3 linked regions of the Lonchura striata genome follow. The protein of the gene in region 3 interacts with the protein of the main gene of each other region in a pairwise test. Links are inferred from orthologs where the notes say so. Each region holds a gene or a part of one and is shown on either strand. Other genes may lie near its edges.

Region 1 (6,847 bases), on a different chromosome or scaffold from region 3:
AGCTGCTCATTAGTGCCCTTCAGTTGCAAGAAGACCCAGTGGACCCTGCTTTTTCATGCCTTCAGATATGGTGAATAAACTGAAAAGTGTTAGCAGCATTTTCCTCCTTTAAAATTTAACACCAAATGATGGAAATTTGGTAGCCCCTCCTCCTTTCCTTCTCATATTTTATAGGGTCAGAATTATAAAAGCCCTTGGAAAAGCCCTTTTAGATCATTAATGCAGCACTGCCAAGATCACCAATATTCCATGTCCTCAGGTGCCACATCCACATGTTTTTTTGAACACTTCCAGGGATGGTGACTTCACCACTGTCCTGGGCAGCCTGTGCCAGTATTTTCCTTTAATGCACATTGTTAAAATACACTAATGCTGGTGGTAGCTTGTACTGGAGGTAGTAACCATAAATTCCGCTCACTCCCTTCCTTCTGCATCATCTGCTGACGTATCTTACTACTAATTAATGGTGATTAGCATGACATCCATCCATACTGATTCATACACGGCCTTTGCACTGAAAAGATGTGTGAGTGTATAGTTCATACCTGTGAACAGAAATGTGATGCTATGAAAGATGAAAAACAAGGGGAAAAAAGGAGGAACTGGAACAGGCTGCTTTTTCATGGAGCTGTAAAGTTTCTATTTCTGGGTCACTGGTTCCCTCTGACTGGTGGAAGATCTCTTCCTGGGGCAGGCTTGCTCCTCAGGGTATCTTCCCATAGCAAAAACGATCTGGAATGGTTCTGTTCAGAGTGCAACAAGAAGTGTGGGGAGGGATGGGGCTGGTCCCTCCTGGTGTAGCCTAGATCTCCAGGTGTTCTCCTCAAGGCAATTCCATCCTGTTGTCCTCAAAATCAGATTTATTATGTGATGTGCAACAAGCCAATAATTACACAGTTGAGAGAGATATTATTTGCACAAGCCTGGATGCTTGGTGGGTTTCCACAAATCCAACACACCCCACTGGACTTTCCACGCCATTATTTACAGAAGTTCATCGTCTTTTTCCAAGGTCAGCCTCTCTATTAAGATTATTTAGTAATTTCCATACAAGTTAGACAATCCCCAGCTAACTTCTCCACATGCAATGGGGAAGGGTCTGCACCTGGGCAAGGTCTTTTTGACCCTTAGGCATGATCTTAAGTATTATAATGAAGATAGTTCAGCTAGTTCAGCTGTAGGATATACAGACCTTGAATCCTTTGCCAAATTATCAATGTATACACACACATACATCAACATTTTGATTTACTACATCCCTAAAGCTTGTTAATTCCCATATGTTGTTGACTAAGGGCTGCTAGCTGCTGTCTTCCCATTCATTACATCTCCTTTCTTGCTGAATAGGTTTGAAAGTATAGAAAGAGTTTACATCAAAAAAAAATTCTATTTTTAAATAATCTTGATATATTCCATATTTTGCAAGTCCTGCTTCGGTTCCCCTCACAGAGATACCCCCGGACTGGGCTCACTGCCCGCTCCCCTCACGGAGGTACTAAGGCGGCTCAATGTCCGCTTCGGTTCCCCTCACGGAGGGGCGGGCGGGGCTCGTTACCGGTTCCCCTCACGGAGGTGCTAAGGCAGCTCATGGCAGTCCCGGTTCCCCTCACGGAGAAACCGTGCAGGGGTCGTCCCCGGTCCCCCTCACGAAGATGCAAGGCAGCTCATGGCAGTCCCGGTTCCCCTCACGGAGAAGCCGGGCGGGCTCGTTCCCGGCTCCCCTCACGGAGAGGCCGGTCCCCTCACGAAGATGCAAGGCGGCTTTATGGCCGTCCCGGTTCCCCTCACTGAGAGGCCGGTCCCCTCACGGAGGTGCAAGGCACCTCATGGCCGCTTCGGTTCCCCTCACGGACGGGCCGGTTCCCTCACGGAGAAGCCGGGCGGGGCTCGTTCCCGATTCCCCTCACGGAGAAGGCGGGCGGGCTCGTTCCCGGTTCCCCTCACGGAGAAGCCGGGCGGGCTCGTTCCCGGTCCCCCTCACGGAGAAGCCGGGCGGGCTCGTTCCCGGTTTCCCTCACGGAGAAGCCGGGCGGGCTCGTTCCCGGTCCCCTCACGGAGAAGCCGGGCGGGGCTCGCGCGCGGCTCCCGGCGCCGGCCGTGCCGTTGCGGCGGTGCCGGCAGGGGGCGCGGGCGCGGCCGTTCCGCCATGGCGGACTACGAGGCAGTGCAGCGCGGTCCGCTGCGGCTGAAGGGCAGCGGCGGGGCCCTGGGGGCCGGCAAGCGGTGAGGGGGGAGCCGGGGGGAACCGGGGGAGAACGGGGAGCGGTGAGGAGGGGTCGGGAGAACCGTGAGCGAGGAGGGGACACACAGCGCCGGGGCTGAGCTCTGACCGGGCGCTTCCCGCAGGAAGAAGAAGAAGGCGAAAGACAAGGCCCAGATGCTGGAGCAGATCGTGAGCAGCAAGAAGCAGGAGGAGGAGAAGAAGCGCGGGCTGGACAAGCGGACCCCGGCGCAGGTGGCCTACGAGAAGATGCAGGAGAAGCGGGTAAGGGTTTAAAAGCCGCTGTCACCCCTGGGGTGCGGCCGCTGAGGGGGCTGCGAGTGCCGGGAGTAACCGGCCTTAATGTGTCTCCTACAGCAAATGGAACGGATCCTGAAGAAAGCGTCGAAAACCCACAAGCAGCGAGTGGAGGTGAGCAAAACCATCCCGAGTCCATCAGGCCAGCGTGTTTTGTTGGGCTGAAGGAACTGTTCCGCCTTGTGAAACACAAGCCGGGACGCAGGGGGGGCTTGTGGTTCAACTTGGTGATGTCAGCACCCTGTTTTCTTTCTCTTTGCCTCCCCCAGGACTTCAACAGGCACTTGGATACTCTGACTGAGCATTACGACATTCCCAAAGTCAGCTGGACTAAATGACCGGGCTGCTTTTCACGGCTCTGGAGCTGGAGTTGTGTTTTGTTTGTATCAAGCAGGGTTGCCATGTAAATCTGTCTTTTCTCTATATTGTCTAATACATCTTCTGAGCTTTTATGACTTCATACTGTCTTATTTTATAGACTTGTTATTTAAAACCAATCATCCAGCAATGTCTCCTGTGGGCTGAGGAGCTCTGGTTTACATCGATGGAGAGGGCTGTTTTTTTTTAGTGTTTATAGTGAGATTAAGGCCAGAACGAATTGCTGTGAGCCAGATGGAAAACATTCCTTTTATTTTGTTAGTTCTAACAGTACTCCTTTTTTCAAGTGGAGTCTGACAGTCTCATTAAGTTTCTCTTGTAAGTTATGTGAATTGTATAATTACTTTCTATCAAGTTCTGTCAGAGGCCATGTTGCAAAACATGAAATATGTAAAATTGTTTTAGGAAAGGATATTCTTTGGTATTTGATCTTTGTATACTTTCAAGCCTAACCAGCAAGAAGGGAGGTTTAATCCATAAAATAGAGAGCAGCCAACAAGCTCTGAGTGATGTCCAAGTTTTGATAGCTGGATTTCTGGGATCCCACCGAGCATCGAGGCTTGTGCAGCTCTGAAATAAATAATCAGCGTGTCTCTCGAGTGTGTAATTGTGGCAAACAGTTATCATTTCTATCTTGAGTATCAACAGTATCATTTCTGTCTTCCAGAGGGGTCTGCTGCAAGTTGTAAATTCGATGTAATTTATTAAAACGCTGCTTCCACCCCTTTTTTGGGATGGAATGAAATGGGGCGTGTGGAGTTTGATTGTTACCCCCTCTGAGGGATGTATCACGATGTCGGAACTCCCAAACCGGGATGTTCTTAACCCGAATTACGCTCTCCGTGTGTCCGTGCCCAGCTCAGCCCGCGGACCGGCGCGCCGGGACTATTTAACGGCGCTGCCGCGGTGTCCTTCCGCCGCGCCGGCGTCACTTCCTGCGGAAGCGGAAGCGGCAGCGGCGGGCGGGACGGGCCCGGCCGGGGCGATGTCGGCCAGCGCCGTCTATGTGCTGGACCTGAAGGGGAAGGTGAGGCCCGGCGCGGAGCTGCGGGTTCCGCTGCCTTGGGACGGCTGCGGGGCCGCGTTCCGCTCCCCGGGCTGCCGGCCCCCGCTTAGCCCAGCGGGGACGGGGGAGTTGTGGCCTGCAGCCCCTCGCCGGTAAACGGGGACAGGGAGTTGTGGGCAGCCCCTCGCCGGTAAACGGGGACAGGGAGTTGTGGGCAGCCCCTCGCCGGTAGAGATGTTGGGTGAGGCGGCATCCCCGGGGTGATTAATCTCTGTGTTAGCGTTCAGGAGCACACATCATCGCGGGATATGATTATGTGCAGGTGCTTTTATTGAGAGCTTTGGGAATCAGGGGTACAGACCCAAATTGACTCCGACATGGCTTTCGAGCTGAACGTATTTTATATTATTATCGTTATATAACTTACATAAAAACTGGGGATGGGAATGGGGATTGGAAATTTGGAATGGAAAACTGAAACTGGGAGTGGGAAACTGGGAATGGAAAATTAGGAATGGAAATCTGGGAGTGGGCATGAGAATGGGGATGGAAAACTGGGAATGGAAAACTGACAATGGGGATGGGAACTTATTAAATTTATATTGTTCTATTGTATACATTGACAAGAGTTTCTCGTGATCTTCCTTAGGCCCCCTGACCACAGTTTCTCATGATTATTCTTACAATTAAACAGTAATTAATTACTAAGCAATCATCACATCTAACAATTATATCATTTATCATGTACTAGGTACACAGGTGCAGTTCTAGCAAGGTACAAGTCTTCATGTACCTAGGGTATTTAATTTTTTCAGGGCCTACTAAGCTTAATTTTCCTTTTAACCCTAAATCCCCATGATTTTAAAACCCTTTTCTTGTCATCTGCCGGTATCCTAGCTGCTTTGCTCAGAAGAATTGTGCATTTTCCTATCCTAAAACCATTCTTAGAGCCTGAGCAGTAATAGAGGTCTGGAAAATATTAATAGATTTTGCAATTACATGTTGGTGTTTGCAAAGTGTTTCAGCATTGTGATTTGCACTTACAAATGCAGAGAGGCTTGAGGGAAGCTGGATGATTTTAGAGGGGTTTATCCAGCATTTGTGTGGCTTGCATGGTAACGTCCTTGTGAAAGAGAAGAAAGAAGGATTTGGTTGCTTACAGGTTCTGATCTGTCGGAATTACCGTGGAGATGTGGACATGTCAGAGGTGGAACATTTTATGCCAATCCTTATGGAAAAGGAAGAAGAGGGGACGCTTTCTCCTATCTTAGCACATGGAGGAGTTCGTTTCATGTGGATTAAACATAACAACCTGTATCGTATCCTTTGTGCTGCAGATGTGCTGACCTGCCAAGGGTTGCTGCTGTGGTTTTAATGTCAGAATGCAAGTTGAAGTATGGGTGAAGTGGTATAAAGTGGCTATATTCAATAAAGTTGGTCATATTAAATAAGGGGTTTTTTGTGCTTTACATAGTGTCATATATACCAGCAGCATAAAGTCCAGAAAAGTGTTCTAATTTTACTCTAATTAATGTCTTCCTGAATGTTATCTTCATATCTCTTTAGATCATTAGTGCTGTTAAGTAGTTAATGCATAATTCTTCCAGGCAACTCTAAGTGCCTTAAATTAGGCTTTTTAAACTGCATTTAGTAAGTGTTTTTTTTTTTAATGCATATTCCTGAACATCCTTTATCAGTTGTTGCAACTTCTAAGAAAAATGCTTGTGTATCACTGGTGTTTTCATTTTTATATAAAGTAGTTCAGGTGAGTATATTTCAGAAGTAACCTTTATGTTCTGTCTAAATAGAAGGGCATAGAGCTTTCACATTTTTTAAGAACTTCAACAATAGTGTTTTTACTTTATATTTGATTATTTTGTTGAACTATCTTCTTAACCACTAATAAGGGCACTGATATTTTGTAGCTGTGTGGGCAGAGTGCTCTAAGTAGTTACACAAGACCTGAGCACCTGGAGGAGATTGTGAACTGGTGCATGTGTTGTCATGCCTCATACAGATCCTGTGCTTGCTTCATATCCAGAAAGATATTTTTTCATAATAGTTTCTTCTATGATTCTCTGTATCTGTTTTAATTGTGGTGGGTTTCCTGGGGCTGATCTGAGCAGAATGCTGTTTGGGAAGTATGGGGTTGGGGTTGGAACTTTACAGGATTATTATTTTAGATGCAGGAATACCTTCTGTGTGTGCTGTGCTGCCTCAGTTAATGTCCTTCTTCTCCCTCCCCCTCCTCTTGTTGCATTTCAGGTTTTTTCTGAATATTTCAAGGAGTTGGAAGAAGAGAGCATTAGGGATAATTTTGTTATTATTTATGAGTTGTTAGATGAGCTTATGGATTTTGGTTATCCACAAACCACTGATAGTAAAATTTTACAAGAGTAAGTATCACTCAACAGTGACAAAGCCCTTGGAATGTTTTGAGCCTTTTTCCATAGGCAAACAAATGTTTGGGTGTGTTCTAATTATCAAAAGTATTAATTTTATTTTTTTTCTGTGCCAATTTTCTGGTTGTGAAGGTACATCACTCAGGAAGGCCACAAACTTGAAACTGGAGCCCCACGCCCGCCTGCCACTGTTACAAATGCTGTTTCATGGAGATCAGAAGGGATAAAATACAGGAAAAACGAGGTGTTCCTGGATGTCATAGAGTCTGTTAACCTTTTGGTGGGTACCTTGGACTTCAACTTTTATGTAAGAATTGTAGTAAAAAGTGTTAAAAAGGGCTTTTTGTATGCGAACCTGCAACAAAAAGTCTGATTGTGGATGTGTTCTGTGACACTCAAAGCAATGTTATCATTAAGTTCCCATGTAATCATTAATTAAGTAATGTAATAATAATTAAGTAACATAATCATTAAGGAAATCCAGTACAAATAATGCTTTAATTGTGTGTATTGCTGATTTTTGGATATGTCCTTTGATCCTCT
Region 2 (7,080 bases), on a different chromosome or scaffold from region 3:
AGGGACCCCAAATCCCTCCCAGGGACCCCCAAATCCCTCCCAAGGACCCCTCAGGCTTCCCCCAAACAGCCCCCAGACCCCTCAGACCCTACACAGGGACCCCCAAATGGCTCCGGGTCCCCCCAAACGGCCCCCAGACTCAGACCCCACACAGGGACCCCCAAATCCCTCCCCAGGACCCCTCAGGCCCCACACAGGGACCCCCAAATGGTTCCGGGTCCCCCCAAACGGCCCCCAGACCCCTCAGGCCCCACCCAGGGCCCCCCACCTTGGTGACCATGACCACCACGAAGTTCTTCTCGTCGATGCGGTACTCGCGGATGGGGACGTCGTCGCTCAGGATCTTGCCGGCGTAGATGAGCTTCTGCCCGGCCACGGGGAACGCCTCGCTGCCCTTCTCGGCCTCGATCTTCTCCTTCAGCGCCCGCACCTGCGCCCCAAAAAATGGCACCCAAAACAGCTCCAGAAACAGCACCCCGAAACTGCTCCTGAAACGGCTCCCAAAACGGTACCATGAAACAGCTCCCCAAAATCTGCTCCTGAAACAGCTCCCAAAACGGTACCATGAAACAGCTCCCCAAAAACTGCTCCCGAAACGGCTCCCAAAACGGTACCATGAAACAGCTCCCCAAAATCTGCTCCCGAAAACGGCTCCCAAAATGGTACCAGGAAACAGCTCCCCAAAATCTGCTCCCGAAAACGGCTCCCAAAATGGTACCATGAAACAGCTCCCCAAAAACTGCTCCCGAAACGGCTCCCAAAACGGTACCATGAAACAGCTCCCCAAAATCTGCTCCCGAAAACGGCTCCCAAAATGGTACCAGGAAACAGCTCCCCAAAAACTGCTCCCGAAAACAGCTCCCAAAACGGTACCATGAAACAGCTCCCCAAAAACTGCTCTCGAAAACGGCTCCCCAAACGGTACCATGAAACAGCTCCCCAAAAACTGCTCCCGAAACAGCTCCCAAAACGGTACCATGAGACAGCTCCCCAAAATCTGCTCCCGAAACGGCTCCCAAAAATGGCATCCTGAAATGGTACCACGAAATGGCACCCCAAAAGTGCACCCTGAAGTGGCTCCCGAAACTGCACCCCGAAACGACATCCCAGGGGCTCCCAGAGCACCCCAAAACTGCACCCCGGGGGCTCAGGGCACCCTGAAACAGCTCCCCAAAACTGCACCCCGAAACTGCACCCTGAAATGGCACCTCGAAACTGCACCCCAGGGCCTCAGGGCTCCCCGAAACTGCACCCCGAAACTGCATCCCAAAACGGCTCCCAAAAACGGCACCCCGAAATGGCTCCCAAAATGGTACCACGAAACAACTCCCAAAAACAGCACCCCAAAACGGCTCCCAAAAACAGCACCCAAAACGGTACCACAAAACAGGTCCCAAAAACTTCACCCTGAAACAGATCCCAAAAACGGCTCCCAAAACGGTACCCTGAAACGGTCCCACAAAACGGCTCCCAAAAACTTCACCCCAAAACTGCATCCCAAAATGGCTCCCAAAAACGGCACCCTGAAACTGCACCCCGAAACGGCTCCCAAAAACAGCATCCCGAAACAGCACCCTGAAACTGCTCCCAAAAATAGCTCCCAAAAACGGCACCCTGAAACTGCTTCCAAAAACTGCACCCCAAAACAGCTCCCAAAAACGGCACCCCGAAATGGTACCACGAAACGGCTCCCAAACACTGCACCCCAAAAGGGCTCCCAAAACTGCACCCCAAAACTGCACTCCGGAGACTCAGGGCACCCTGAAACTGCTCCCAAGAACTGTACCCCAAAACGGCTCCCAAAACTGCATCCCGAAACGGTTCCCAGAACTGCACCCCAAAACAGCTCCCGAAACGGCTCCCAAAAACTGCTCCCCAAGAGGGCTCTCAAAACTGCACCCCAAAACTGCACCTCGGGGCCCCCCACAGGCTCAGGGCACCCCATAACCGCCCCCCAGGGGCTCAGGGCACCCCAAAACTGCACCCCAAAACTGCTCCCCAGGGGCTCAGGGCACCCCAAAAGGCTCCCCAAAACTGCACCCTGAAACAGCACCCCGGGGGCTCAGGGCACCCCAAAACTGCCCCCCCCAAGCCCCAAATATTGTGGAAGAAACGCCCCGAAAAAAATTGCCCTTCCCACGGGGGTCTAAGCTCCCCCAAAGTGGGGGGGTCTGGGGGCGAATAATAGCAGGGAGCCCCCCAAAAATAGGGGACACAGAGGCCCCCCCCCAGGGATGAGAACTGGGGGCACACGGAGCCCCCTCCCCAAAATGAGAACTAGAGGGACACGGAGCCCCCTCCCCAAAATGGGGATTGGGGGAACACGGAGCCCCCGCCCCAAAAAGAGAATTGAGAGAACATGGAGCCCCCTCCCCAAAATGAGAACTAGAGGGATACGGAGCCCCCTCCCCAAATGGGGATTGGAGGGACACGGAGCCCCCTCCCCAAAATGAGAGTTGGGGGCACACGGAGCCCCCTCCCCAAAATGAGAATTGAGGGAACACGAAGCCCCCTCCCCAAATTGGGGACTGGGGGCACATGGAGCTCCCCGGGTGCCGCCCCTCGCTCTCCTCACATCGGGGACACGCAGACCCCTCCCCAAAAAAGAGCCGAGACCCCCCCCCAGAACCGGGGGCGCACGGAGCCGCCCCTGCCGGTGCCATCCGCACCCGAACGGGCGGGGGGCACACGGGGCCGCCCCTCGGTGTCCCCCCGCACCTCAAGGAAGCCCCGGGAGGCTCCGGCCCCGCGGCGTGAGGGCTCGGGGGGGGATGTGGGGGGGGGCGGGCTCCGTGCCCATCCCCGGCCCCCGGGCGCGTCCTCACCGTCTCGTGCGGCTCCATGCGGATCTTGAAGGTTTGCTGCTGCAGCGTCTTGAGCGTGACGGTGACGGCCATGGCGGGACGGGCGCGGGGCGGCGGCGGCGGCTCCTCCCGGCGGCCCCACGACAACAACATGCAACTCACGCCGCCGCCATCTTAGAGGCGGCCCCGCCGCTTCCGCCGCGGCGCCGGAAGTGCGTCACGGCGCGCCCGCGCGCGCGCCACGCTCCCGCGGGGAAAAAAAAACGGGGCGGGGGCAATGGAGTTTCCGCTGTCACGTGACGCGGGAAAAACCCGCGCGGGTCTCGTTCCCGCCCCCGATCACGTGACGCGGCGCCGGCACAAAATGGCGGCGGCCACAACATGGCGCGGGCGGGGAACAAGGAGGAAACAACGAGGAGCGAAACGGCGGCGGGACCGTCGTTAATTTAATAGAAACCGGATCACGACACCCCCCGTACAGTCCCGTGCGACACCGCCGGTGCTTTCCCCACCCCTCCCACCCCTCTCCGATCCCTCCCCACCCCCGGCGCTGGTCCTGAGTCCTCGCCCCGCAGGGCGCCCGGTGCCGGTTCGGTGCCGGTTCGGTGCCGGCCGTGCCGGTTCGGTGCCGGCCGTGCCGGTTCGGTGCCGGCGCCCATAGAAAAGAGTCCAGGTCTCACAGAGACAGAACGGGGCCCGCCGCGGGGCCCTCACAGCTCGTCCCGCGGGGCCGCCTCCGCCTCCTCGGGCTCGGCCTCGGGCTCGTCCTCATCCTCCTCCTCCTCGTCGCCCTCATCATCCCCTTCCTCTTCCTTCTGCTGCTTCTCCTCCTCCTCCTGCTTCTTCCGCTGCTCCTCGTCCTGCTGCTCCTTCATCTTCCTCTCTGCGTCCTGCGGGAGGCGGCGGGGAGGTCACGGGGGTCGTGGGGGGCTCGTCCTCCCCGTACCTTGATGGCCCCCCAGGTCTCATTGGTGGCCCCCAGGACTCATCCCCTCGGTACCTTGGTGGCCCCCCAGGTCTCGTTGGTGGCCCCCTAGGTGTCATTGTCCCTCCCGCACCTTGGTGACCCCCCCAGGTCTCATTGTCCCCCCCTTACCTTGGTGGCCCCCCAGGTCTCGTTCCCGATCTCCTCCGCCAGTTTCTCGTCGTCCGTGATCAGGAAGTTGTCGAAGATGGTGCCTGACTTCACCTGTGGGCACGGGGCAGTCAGGGGGGGTCCTGCAGCTCCTGGGGACCCCCCGAGACCCCTCCTGGGGACCCCCCCTCACCTGCCAGAGGTCGAGGCCGATGACCCCGAAGCTGTCGTAGGAGTAGAGCAGGGGGTCGGGGCTGTACTCGGGGTTGTCGATCTCAGGGTGCACCCACTTGCCCTTGTAGTCGGGGTTGTCGATCTGCTGCGGCCTCCACTCGCCCTGGTGGGGGGCACAAGTTGGGGCTCAGAGGGGGCTCAGCCCCTCCCCCAGCAGCCCCCCAACACCGCAGCAGCCCCCCCAGGCCTCACCTTGTACTCGGGGTTCTGGATCACGGGGGGCTCCCACTCCCCGTCCATCTCCTCGTCCCAATCCTCCGGTTTCTTGGCGTCGGGGTCCGGGATGTGCTCGGGTTTGTCCCAGTCCTGCAAGGGGGGTGGGTTGGGGGGCTCAGGGGGCTGCTGTGGCTCCCCAGGACCACCCTCGCCTCCCCACCTCTCACCCAGTCCCCCCCATTCTCCCCCTAATCCTTCCAGGACCTTTTCACAACACCCCCCCAAATCTCCTGGAGACCCCCCAGGTTCCTCCCTAAAACCCCTCCAATCCCCCCCCAAAAGCCCCTCCAAGCCCCCTCCCCACCTCAGGTTTGGTGTCCTCGGGGTCATCGATCTTGGCCCGCTCATCCCAGTCCTCAGGTTTCTTGGCCTCGGGGTCTTTGATCTTTTTGGGGGGCAGGAAATCCCAATCCTCCTCCAGGCTCCCCGACTCCACGCGGGCGTTGTCGATCTTCACCTCGTAGGTGTTGTCCGGCCGCACCACCAGCGTGTACAGGTGGGTGAATTCGTCGTCCTGGGGGGCACAGGGGGGGCTCAGCAGGGCTGCAGACCCCCCCCCCGACCCTACACAGCAGGGGACAGCAGGACCCCCCACCCCCAAAAGCCCCCAGACCCACCTTGCAGCGAATGTCCTTATTGATCAGCACGTTCTTCCCTTTGTAGTTAAAAATCACGTGCACCTTCTTGGTGCCGGGGCCGCAGATGTCGGGGCCTGGCGAAACATGGAGAAAAATTAAATTTCACCATTTTAACAAAGATTTGTAGGCAAAAGTATATTTATTTACAGTGCTGTGGATGCATGTGGGGACTCATCACTTTTCAATGGACATGTGAACCCGTGGAACTCCTGATCCTTTTTTATAACCCTGACTAATTTCTACAAGCATAAAATTTAGTAATAGGCTCATACATATTTATTTTGCTGATTTCACGTTACGCTAAATATATTTCTATTTTATTACATTTTTTACTCTGTCTCACTGGGGCTGGGGGGGACACAGGGTCACGGAAAGGGGCTGAGGGGCAAAGGGGGGGCAATGGGGTCAGAGAAAGGGGCTGAGACCACCCTGGGGGGCTGGGGGGACATGGTGCTAGGGAAAAGACCACCCCAAGGGGGCTGGGGGGCGAGGGGGAGACTCAGGGTCAGGGAAAGGGGCTGAGACCACCCTGGGGGGCTTGGGGGACACCCACCAAACATGATGTTGTACTCGGAGTCGCCGTGCATGTCCTCCTGGCTGAGGCTGGCCGGGAAGAGCTTGACGTAGCCGCCGCCACAGTCGATGTTCTGCTCATGCTTGACAGTGAACTGCACCACCAGCGTCTTGTCGCGGTTGCTGAAGGGCTCGAAGCGCGACGACAGCGCGTAGAACCGGGCGTCCTGGCTCGTTTGGATCCCTGCGGGACGTGGGGCGTGGTTGGGGAAGGGGGAGAAAACCCCAGCCTCGAGGTCTTTCCCCCTCCGCCTGCCGTGCTCCCCGGCTCACCTTTGTCCTTCTCGGCGTCGCCGTAGAACTTGCCGGCGGTGAGGACGAAGCGGCCGTAGTCGGGTTTGTGCTTGGATTCCACCCACCGGCGGGTCCAGGCGTCTGTGAGGGGGCAGGATCAGCACCCCCAAAGCCCTCCTGCCCGCCCAGCTCAGGGCTTGGGGCAGGGTCTCTTTGCTGGATGGTTTTAGGCTCGCAGAGGAAAGCTGAGTCCCCCCACCCGCCAGGAACCCTCTCCATGTGGCTGCTGCGTTCCTCACGAGCCTTTTTCCTGCTCTTTTCTCTCTTGTCCACCTGCTCTGCTGAGGCTGAGCCCCCTCAGCCTGTCCCTCCAGTGACCCTTGCTGGCTCAGGGATTCCTCAGCAGCTTCGTCCTGCCTGCCCTGACTCCCACTCGCTGCCCACACCTGAGGAGTGGCTCCTGCACGCCCTGTCACCTCAGGGAGCAGCACGTTCCACATTCTCTGCCCTCACACAACACCCGAGGATCCCCTCCTCGTTTCCCTCAGAGACCACAGCAGAGTGCCCCCATTCTGTTCTGTTCCCCTCACAGAACACAGATCAGTCCCCCCCATTATTTCTTTAAAGAACACAGCGGGATCACTCCATTTTCCCCTCTCAGAACACGGTGAGGGGGGGGGCGGTCACTGAATTCTCTCCCTTCACAAAACACAACAGGCTCCCTCCTTTCTCGCCTTACAAGTCACACGGGGTGCTCCCATTCCCTCCCCTCACAGACCACAAGAGGATCCCCTAATTCTCCCTTCAGAAAAGACGGGAAGGTCTCTCCATTCTCTCCCCTCACAAGACACAAGAGGGCCCTCCCAGCCTCCTGCCTCCCCCTCAGACTCCCCTCAGACTCCCCAGGCACCGCCCCCCCTCAACCCCTTCACCTCAAAAGCCCCCCCCCCTCAGGCCCCGCCCTCAGCGACCCCCTCCCGGCCCCTCCCTCACCTCCATCCCCGAACTCCTCGCGGAAGAACTGGGTGGGGCCGGCGGCCGCCAGGAGGGCTCCGAACAGGACGGGGCCGAGGACGCCGAGGGGGCTCATGGCTGGCGGGGGAGGGGGTTTAGGAACACTCGCTCCGTCCGTCCCGGCCCGGCGCCGCCCGGCACTGCGGAGGGGGGAGGAGGTGCCGCCGCCTTTTATACTCCCGCCGCCCCTCGCCCTGCCTCCGCCGCCCTGCCATTGGCCCGAGGCCGCGCGCGGCCCTCTCCCATTGGCCGCCCGCCCGCCCGCCGCCGGCGACGGCGCCCCCGAACGTTG
Region 3 (7,725 bases):
TCCAGAGGCGCCTCCGCCTCCAAGTCAATGCGGATGCTGTCGATGCCCGCCTCGGCCAGGCACTCGTTGCACAGTCTGTAGCGCCGCGTGCCCTCCTGCACCACCTGGCCCGTCAGCTCGGTGACGTGGCGCTTGCACTTCCTGCAGATGGGCTTGCACGCCTGGTGGATCTGGGGAAATCGAGAAGGGATGGATTTGTAAAACACCAATGGGTTTTTTGGGAGATGGCAAAAATCAAATCGCAGCGTTGCTGTCGCTATAGGACACGTGAAAGCACGACGCGAGCCACCTGCTATTTCCAAGGTAAAGAAGAAAGTTTATTCTCTGACTCCGACTTTTATACTTTCCCAAAGGTGACATTGGGTTGGAGAGTGAATGGGCCACCTCTCCAAACACATTGGACAAACCACTAGTACATCAAGTTTCTCCACCCTCATAAAAGAATGTAAACAATATGTTGTTTACAGAAATTGTGTGGGAAAGTTCTCCAACAGAATGTAAATTCAGAAGGCTTTAGAAAATCCTAAGAATCAGGGTGACATGTTGCCTTAATTTCAGAGACATCAAACGCTGAACTGCACCAGCCCCAGCACAGTAATTGCCCACTGGAGCTCTCACAGGCTGCAGAGAGCAGAACCTCTGCAAGCCATCAATTACCCAACAAATTCCTCCTCTTTCCTGCAAATTATCCTTCAATTCGACTGCAGCCAAACCAAATTAATGTTCCATTCCCCTCTTCTTTACAGGAGTCATTAGATCAACCAGATACACTCACACTGTGTTTAATTAGCCAGATTTACATGTTAAATAAATCATGCAGTTGCTAAAAATACTCACAGTTCGAAAATGGCTGCTGAGGTGATCCAGCCTGCTGAATCTCTTGCCACACGCCTCGCAGGGGTACGGCCGCTCTCCCGTGTGACAGCGAAGGTGACGCTTGAGGTCGGCTTTTCTCTTCACCACGTGGCTGCAGAATGGACACTTGAACCTCATCCTGGACAGGTCATCTGTCAGAAAATAATGGGATTTAAAAAAAAAAGTCAAAATCGTGTCATGTAATGCTCTAGGAAAAAGTGTTTTATGAGGAGAATAGCAGGTCATTTATTAAAATATCCACGGGTTGTTTCAAACACAAAGGATTTGTGTTTGTCTGTAGATTACACAGGAGTGGAACAAAGGAGGAGTGGGCCATTGGCTGTATTAACACAGACCTGGTAAAGCCAGCCTGGACAGAGCCTGGAGCAACCAGGGATAGTGGGAGGTGTCCCTGCCCATGGCAGGGAGTGGAGCAAGATGAGCTTTAAGGTCCTTTCCAACCCAAAGTATTCTGTGATTTTATGAAAATGAACTTAAAAATATCCCAACTTATACTTATTTTTAAATTCAATACCCCAGGTACTTCAAGAACTCAGAATGATTTCAAGGAAATGAGTTCAAACTTTCTAAGCATACACTTCTGGACAATACAGCTGTCTTTTTGACAGTTGTGCTTTACTATTGAGTAAGACCTATTTTCTCAGAGGCAGAAGAGAGGATTCACAGGTGTCTAAACCCCACTCACCTTCAGCCCAGTTCCCCATGACTCCCAGGATGGAGGGCATGCTCCCGTACTGCTCCTCAGCTTTGGAGGATTTGGATTTGCTGGAGGAGCGGGGTGACTCGTGCTCCTGCTGCGACACAGCCAAGCCCCTGGGCATCACCTCAGCCCCTTGGCCAAACTGGTAGCCCACGTGAGGAGCTTCCACCTCCGTGTCGATGTGGACCTGCTCCTCGGGCGGCGCGGCGTGGCCGGCGGGCTCGGCAGCCCTGTCCTCCAGCTTGCTGGATTTATAGTGGGGGATGTCTGAAGGCTGCTGCAGCCCCAGGTGCCGGGATTTCTTGATGGAATCCTGCCGCTGCTCGTGTTTAGACAGCTGCTGCTGGGCATTTCTTTGAGAGCTGGGGTAATAGTTGAAATTGCTCCAAGTGTTGCCGCCCATCATACAAGTCCCAGGGTCTGGGCTGGAGTGGGAATGCGGGGGGCTGCTCTCTGCCCTCCACCCTCCGCTGTACACGCAGGATCGGTCCACGCCGTTGGAGCTGACATCTTTGTCTGACAGGCTGAAGTAGCGATCCTTCTCCTTCTCACTGATGTCCAGCGACGACTTGATGAAGGTTTTACACACGCTGATCACATCGGTCATCTGCAGATAGCTGGCAGCCGACATGACTTCGATCACATTCTGACCAGTGAGAGACAGTTTGCCTGAATACACAAAATCCAGGATAACTGTGAAGGTGTCAGGAGAAAAGGCCTGGAAAGTGGCTGTCGTGGACTGACTCGTCTCCTTCGAGCTCTGCGAAAGGAGCATTTTGAAGTAGCCGCTGCTGGCAAACAGCACATTGCGATGGGCTTTGAAGACTTTGCCCTCCACCAGGATGTTGCAGTCACAGAACAAGTCCTGCCTGCGCTGCTCATTTAGTTGCTGCAAGAGGTGAAACTGGTGAGAAGAAATCTCCATCCCAGAAAAGGTGAAATGAAACGTTCCTCTAAAAAAAATGAAGAAAATTATTTCACTCTCGACTTCAGTGCTGTGTAACTCAGCCAAACATGTCAGACCCAATTTTACAGCTATCTTTACAAACAATAGCATTTCTGTAAATCTACAAATATATTTAAACCACGATATGCTCAACCATAGATTCATTTCCCAACAGAACAAGAGGGATGGCGAAGCCAAGACCGCGTTATTTGGCACGGACGGCTGTGCTAGAGCCGGCAGCAAATCCATTCCCGGGATGCGGGGCAGCATGCGGGGCTGGACTCGTGCCGCCCGCTGGAGCTGCGCAGCCTTCAGGCAGCTCCGGGAAGACGAGGAGCCAAGAGCAGCTGCGGCTGCGACCGCGGCCGTGCCTCGAACCCGCGATTCCGTCTCGAACCCGCGATTCCGCCTCGAACCCGCGATTCCGCCTCGAACCCGCGATTCCGCCTCTCCCCGCTCCGCCCGGGCCCCGCTTCGGGCGGAAGGCACGGCGGCAGCGCCCCGGCCTCCCCGGCATTGGCCGCGGCCGCCGTCACTCACCCGCCCGGCCGGTCCCCGGCAGCCCGGGACGCCCGACGGCGCCGGAGCCGCCCGGCCCCGCTCCCACCGCGGGACCGCCGCGCCCGCCTGCCCCGGCCGGCTGCGCGCTCCCCTCCGCCCGCACGGAGCGCCCCGGCCCGGCCGTGCCGCCCGCGGGAACGGAGCCGCGGCTGCCGCTCCGCCAGAGCCCCCCGTGTCCCCGCCCGGTGCCCGGTGCCCGGTGCCCAGCGCCCGGTGCCGCTCCCGTCCCGCCGCCCGCAGCCGCTTCCGCCGGCAGCGCCTCCGCCGCCCGCCCCGCGCAGCCCCTTTGTGTCCGCGCCCGGGGCTGCAAATGGCGCCCGCCGGGGACGCGGCAGCGCCGGCACCGGGCGGCACCGAGCGGTTCCCGGCGGCTCCGGGCGGCACCGAGCGGCTCCGAGCGGTTCCCGGCGGCTCCGGGCGGCCCGAAGCGCCCGCGGCCGCTGCGGAGCCCCGCGCCCTCCTCGCAGCCGGGCTGGCTGCGGGGCCCGTTCCGCCCCAATCCCAGCGCCCTGCCCGGCCTACCGGCGTGCGGGAGCCGCCACTCACCGGCGGGGTGCTGCGGGCGGCTGCCGCCGAGCCGGGGGGAGCGGGCGGTGGCTGCGGGATCCCCGGCTCCGCCTCGGGGCTCGCCGTGCCTGCAGGCGACGCGCCGCTGCTCCCGCAGCCCCGAGCCCTGCGAGCCCGAACGGGAGAGAAACAAAAGGTATTTGCTGACGTGGGCGTTGGACAGAGACGCCCGAGGGCTGGGGACACAATTAAAGGGGCAACGCACCGATTGCAGCCGCAGCCCAGCGCCTGCCGCGGCCCCCGCGCCCCGCGGCCGCCGCCGCTCGCCGCTTCCCACACCCACATGCTGCCCGGGAGGGGATGGGATGCCCTAGATGCCTCCTTTTCACACCTTTATCTATAGCAGGGCCCTCGATGACCCAAATCCTTCTCCTTTCTCTTGCGGCGTCCTCCAAAGGAGATGTGACATCTTCTTGTCTCTGTTGGTGTCTGTTATCTTCTGAAGAAAGCATGGCTGAAAGCGAGACCTGAACCTCTCACCTTCTCTCCCTCGAAGTTTAGTGTCTTTCCCCTTCCTCTTCTTACCACCAGGGTCTTTTCTGTGTTTTGGACGCCCTAGTTACTTTTCATAAATATTTATTTTCCCCATGGAAACCGTTCTTCCCTAACCGAGCCCTTGGTGGCATTTTTGGCCTTCTCTTCTCTAACTTCAGACATTCCACCTTGAAACAATTTCTCTTTCTTTGCCCATTGTAGCAAAATTGGCTAAAGAATTTATCTAAAGATAACAACCCAAAGATTATTTCCTTTGATCATTAGAGCCATTCTCCCACTACATCATATACATTGTCATCTCTAATTTCTACATTCATATTTTGTAGATATATATGTATATGTTACAATATTATTTTCCATCTTAATTCCTCCTTTTTCATAAACTCTCTTTGTTTTGTAGATTCTCCTTTCAAACCCAGGCCGTGCTCTTAAAATCTTCATGAGACCCATTCTGCTTCTGTGAGATTCTGCTCTAAATCAACCATTCTTGAACATGAAACAACTGGAATTCAAACCAGCTTCTCACAGCTCTTACCACTGAGAAATAAAGAATGCAATCAACTAAACCATCAGATTATTTAATATATAAACCAGAACATTTATTTCTAGTATCAGGTTTTAATACCATTGAAATGAATTCCTTTAAAGTTTATTTTTGCCTGTCAAGCCAAGTAAGTAGCACCTCTTTTTATTTAATGTGGAATCACAGAATCCCAGGATGGTTTGGGCTGGAAAGGATCTTAAAGATCATGGGCAGGGACACCATGTTTCTCAATATTCTATAAATGTTTTTCCACACTTCTGCCCAAATTATTCCATCAGCTGAAAGCTTCCTTTGGAAAAGAATTATCTGGAGGTATTTGTTCTGTTTGACTTGCCTGGGTGGTGCTTTCACTCCTCTGTCAGTGGGGTTTTATATCAATGTCAACAGGAGCTCGAGGGTTCTCCTTCTGCCAGGAACAGGCAAGAGAATTTAAAAAATATGGGGGGAAATGTCAATGTTATCTGGAGTGGCTTAATTAGAATTTTTAAAGATGCTACGAGTGCTTTCCTCAGAGCACCTCCTGCTCACTGCTGTGCTGTGGATCCAGGAACAGCCACAGAACAAACTTTGGTTTCCTCATCCACGGGGCTGATTTCATCTTGTTGTGCACAATAATGCATCCCAAACAATCCCAGACATCAGAGAGGTTTTTTAGGTTTTGTTTCTAACTTTTAGAACCGATTTCAGCTGAGAAAGTTCCACTTGAGATGCTGATTTCATCTTGCTGTGCACAATAATGCATCCCAAACAATCCCAGACATCAGAGAGGTTTTTTAGGTTTTATTTCTAAATTTTAGAGCAAATTTCAGCTGAGAAAGTTCCACTTGAGATGCTGTTTGGAGAGTTTATCCAGAGGGAATGTGCTTGGCAGCAGTGTGAAGGAGCTGCTCCTCACAGCCAGAATGTAGAGTCTGCTCTTCAGAGAACAATCACACTAAAAAAAATTAATATTTTTCTTGCTCACAGAAAAATTAATGTACATTTCTCCTTGGGTTTGGTAACCAAATAGGATTAACTGTAATAATATATAATGGTATAGTGTAATGTATTATAATAGTTTAATTAACTGTGGCACCAATTTAAAGATTGCAGTTCTCTTCAAAATAAACATTCCTCAGGAATCACAGCCTTCAGTTATGGTGCATCTTACAACTTGAATTATCCAGGGATATTTTTTACCAAGGAAAACTCAAGAGCTTATACTAGAACAACTTAAGGAACTGTTCAAAGCCTAGAAATTAATCAGGCATGGGATTACAACTTTCATGTGATCACTGCCACCTTAGATTGGGGTTGTCTTCATTTGCATCATCATTCCTCTCCTCACCTTTCCCAAGGACCAAACCAGGAGTGTTGAATCACCCGGGGTTTGAGTTCCACCTTTGTGCTCAAGCTCAAATCCAAATCTCAAATACAAATACAAATCTTGAGTACAAATCTGAGCCTAGAAGCACAAATCCAAATCTCAAATCCAAATCTCAAATCCAAATCTCGAGTACAAATCCAAATCTTGAGTAGAAATCCAAATCTCGAGTACAAATCTGAGCCTAGAAGCACAAATCCAAATCCCAAATCCAAATCTCGAGTAGAAATCTGAATCTCGAGTAGAAATCCAAATGTAGAAGCACAAATCCAAATCCAGAAGCACAAATCCAAATCTCCAAGCACAAATCCCAATCTAGAAGCACAAGTCCAAATCTCGAGTACAAATCCAAATTTCAAGTACAAGTCCAAATCTCAAATACAAATCCAATCTAGAAGCACAAATCGAAATCTCGAGTATAAAACCAAATCTCCAGTACAAATCCATGGAGCCTCCAGGGCACCAGGAGATTTTTCCTTTTTCCAAATGAGCAGGAAATTGGAATGTCCTGTCCTAAACCCAGGGAGGAATCTTCCCTTCTTCCCTCTGGCAGCAAGGCCAGTTTAGGGAAAGCCTGATCCTAATCCTGATCCAGCAGGACAATTAAAACCCTCCTTAAACTCTTTATTTTCAGCTGTTTCTCAGAACACCCAACTGTCCCACATTTGCATCCAGCTCATGTTGATGACTTAGGGCTGGATCCAAACAATTCTCCTCCCCAAATCATTCCCAAGCTTTTTGACACCCTCAGCTGCCCTGCTCTCCTCCTCCTTCCCCCACAAAGAATCCTTTTCACCAAGGGTGGAGATAACCACCCTCATCCCCTCTGAGTTCTTCAGCATCTCAATCTTTCATGAGAAAAAAAATTAAAAAAAAAAACAAAAAAAAGGGAAATTTGTCTACTTGCAGCAAGATTTTTTTGTCAAATATTGGATATAACACAAAATTTTCTGGAAAGGATATTTGGGATGTTGTCCTCCTCACATGTATTTCCTCCTAGCTGGGATCAGTGTCTGCTTCCTAGCAAGAAAAATGAGAAGTTTTAAAAGGAGTTTAAAAAGTTGAATTAACATAAAACTACAAGACTGTTAAAAAAAAGCCAGTATTAATAATATAAAATATTTTCTAAAAGTCTCACTTGGCTGGGGTTTACGTGAACAGAATCCTTTTAGTCTTTTCCTTCCAAAAACCTGATTTTTCTTGCAAACTAGCTGTCCCCAAAAATGGATATATTAATTTTTAAGCCAAATTAATGGAATGGAAATAATTATTTAATTTTAATGCCAGAAATTGAAACGTGAGCCTTCAATCTAGACACTCTCAGGTTTACTCAGTCAACATGGGAACAGTAAAAAAAAATCAAAGCAACCCTCTCAGAGAGTTTTATTTTCTAGACAATCAAAAAACTCCAGAATGTTCCAAGATCCACAAATATAGTTCAGTCACTTCCACAAATAAGGTTCGGTTTATAAGAATTTGTCATTGTTACTGGACCAAAGGACTTCAGTTATGAAACTGTCTTACAAAACATCAGGGAATTCAACGACCACATTTGGAAGATTTACAAGGGCTTCGCACCAAGAGGTTAAATGCACTACAAACACCAGTGCAGCATGTATTCCTTCAGTGAAATACAGTGCATTTCTGTGCAAAAATACATTAAAATGTGTATT

What was found. The genes of interacting proteins can lie anywhere in the genome.
Region 1: the proteins of zinc finger and BTB domain-containing protein 8A (region 3) and AP1M1 interact in binary tests that used the Homo sapiens proteins (3 or more experiments, as listed by UniProt). The two-hybrid records come from large-scale screens. The link is inferred for Lonchura striata from reciprocal best matches to the Homo sapiens genes ZBTB8A and AP1M1.
Region 2: the proteins of zinc finger and BTB domain-containing protein 8A (region 3) and RAD23A interact in binary tests that used the Homo sapiens proteins (3 or more experiments, as listed by UniProt). The two-hybrid records come from large-scale screens. The link is inferred for Lonchura striata from reciprocal best matches to the Homo sapiens genes ZBTB8A and RAD23A.

The regions. Positions count from the first base shown.
Region 1 is NC_134630.1:4,653,051-4,659,897, reverse strand, and holds the start of AP1M1 (AP-1 complex subunit mu-1), read left to right. Parts: upstream 1-3,843; 5' UTR 3,844-3,881; coding exon 3,882-3,923; intron 3,924-5,064; coding exon 5,065-5,221; intron 5,222-5,599; coding exon 5,600-5,667; intron 5,668-6,167; coding exon 6,168-6,298; intron 6,299-6,436; coding exon 6,437-6,584; intron 6,585-6,847. Other genes in the region: protein FAM32A, read left to right, coding at 2,147-2,223, 2,347-2,485, 2,579-2,632, 2,788-2,856. UniProt on the Homo sapiens protein: Subunit of clathrin-associated adaptor protein complex 1 that plays a role in protein sorting in the trans-Golgi network (TGN) and endosomes.
Region 2 is NC_134623.1:1,284,005-1,291,084, reverse strand, and holds the start of RAD23A (UV excision repair protein RAD23 homolog A), read right to left. Parts: upstream 3,005-7,080; 5' UTR 2,958-3,004; coding exon 2,826-2,957; intron 431-2,825; coding exon 269-430; intron 1-268. Other genes in the region: CALR (calreticulin), read right to left, coding at 3,515-3,694, 3,901-3,993, 4,073-4,216, 4,306-4,419, 4,634-4,843, 4,947-5,041, 5,521-5,724, 5,814-5,915 and 1 more. UniProt on the Homo sapiens protein: Multiubiquitin chain receptor involved in modulation of proteasomal degradation. Binds to 'Lys-48'-linked polyubiquitin chains in a length-dependent manner and with a lower affinity to 'Lys-63'-linked polyubiquitin chains.
Region 3 is NC_134628.1:951,501-959,225, forward strand, and holds the start of zinc finger and BTB domain-containing protein 8A, read right to left. Parts: upstream 3,022-7,725; 5' UTR 2,793-3,021; coding exon 1,562-2,792; intron 1,008-1,561; coding exon 838-1,007; intron 171-837; coding exon 1-170. UniProt on the Homo sapiens protein: May be involved in transcriptional regulation.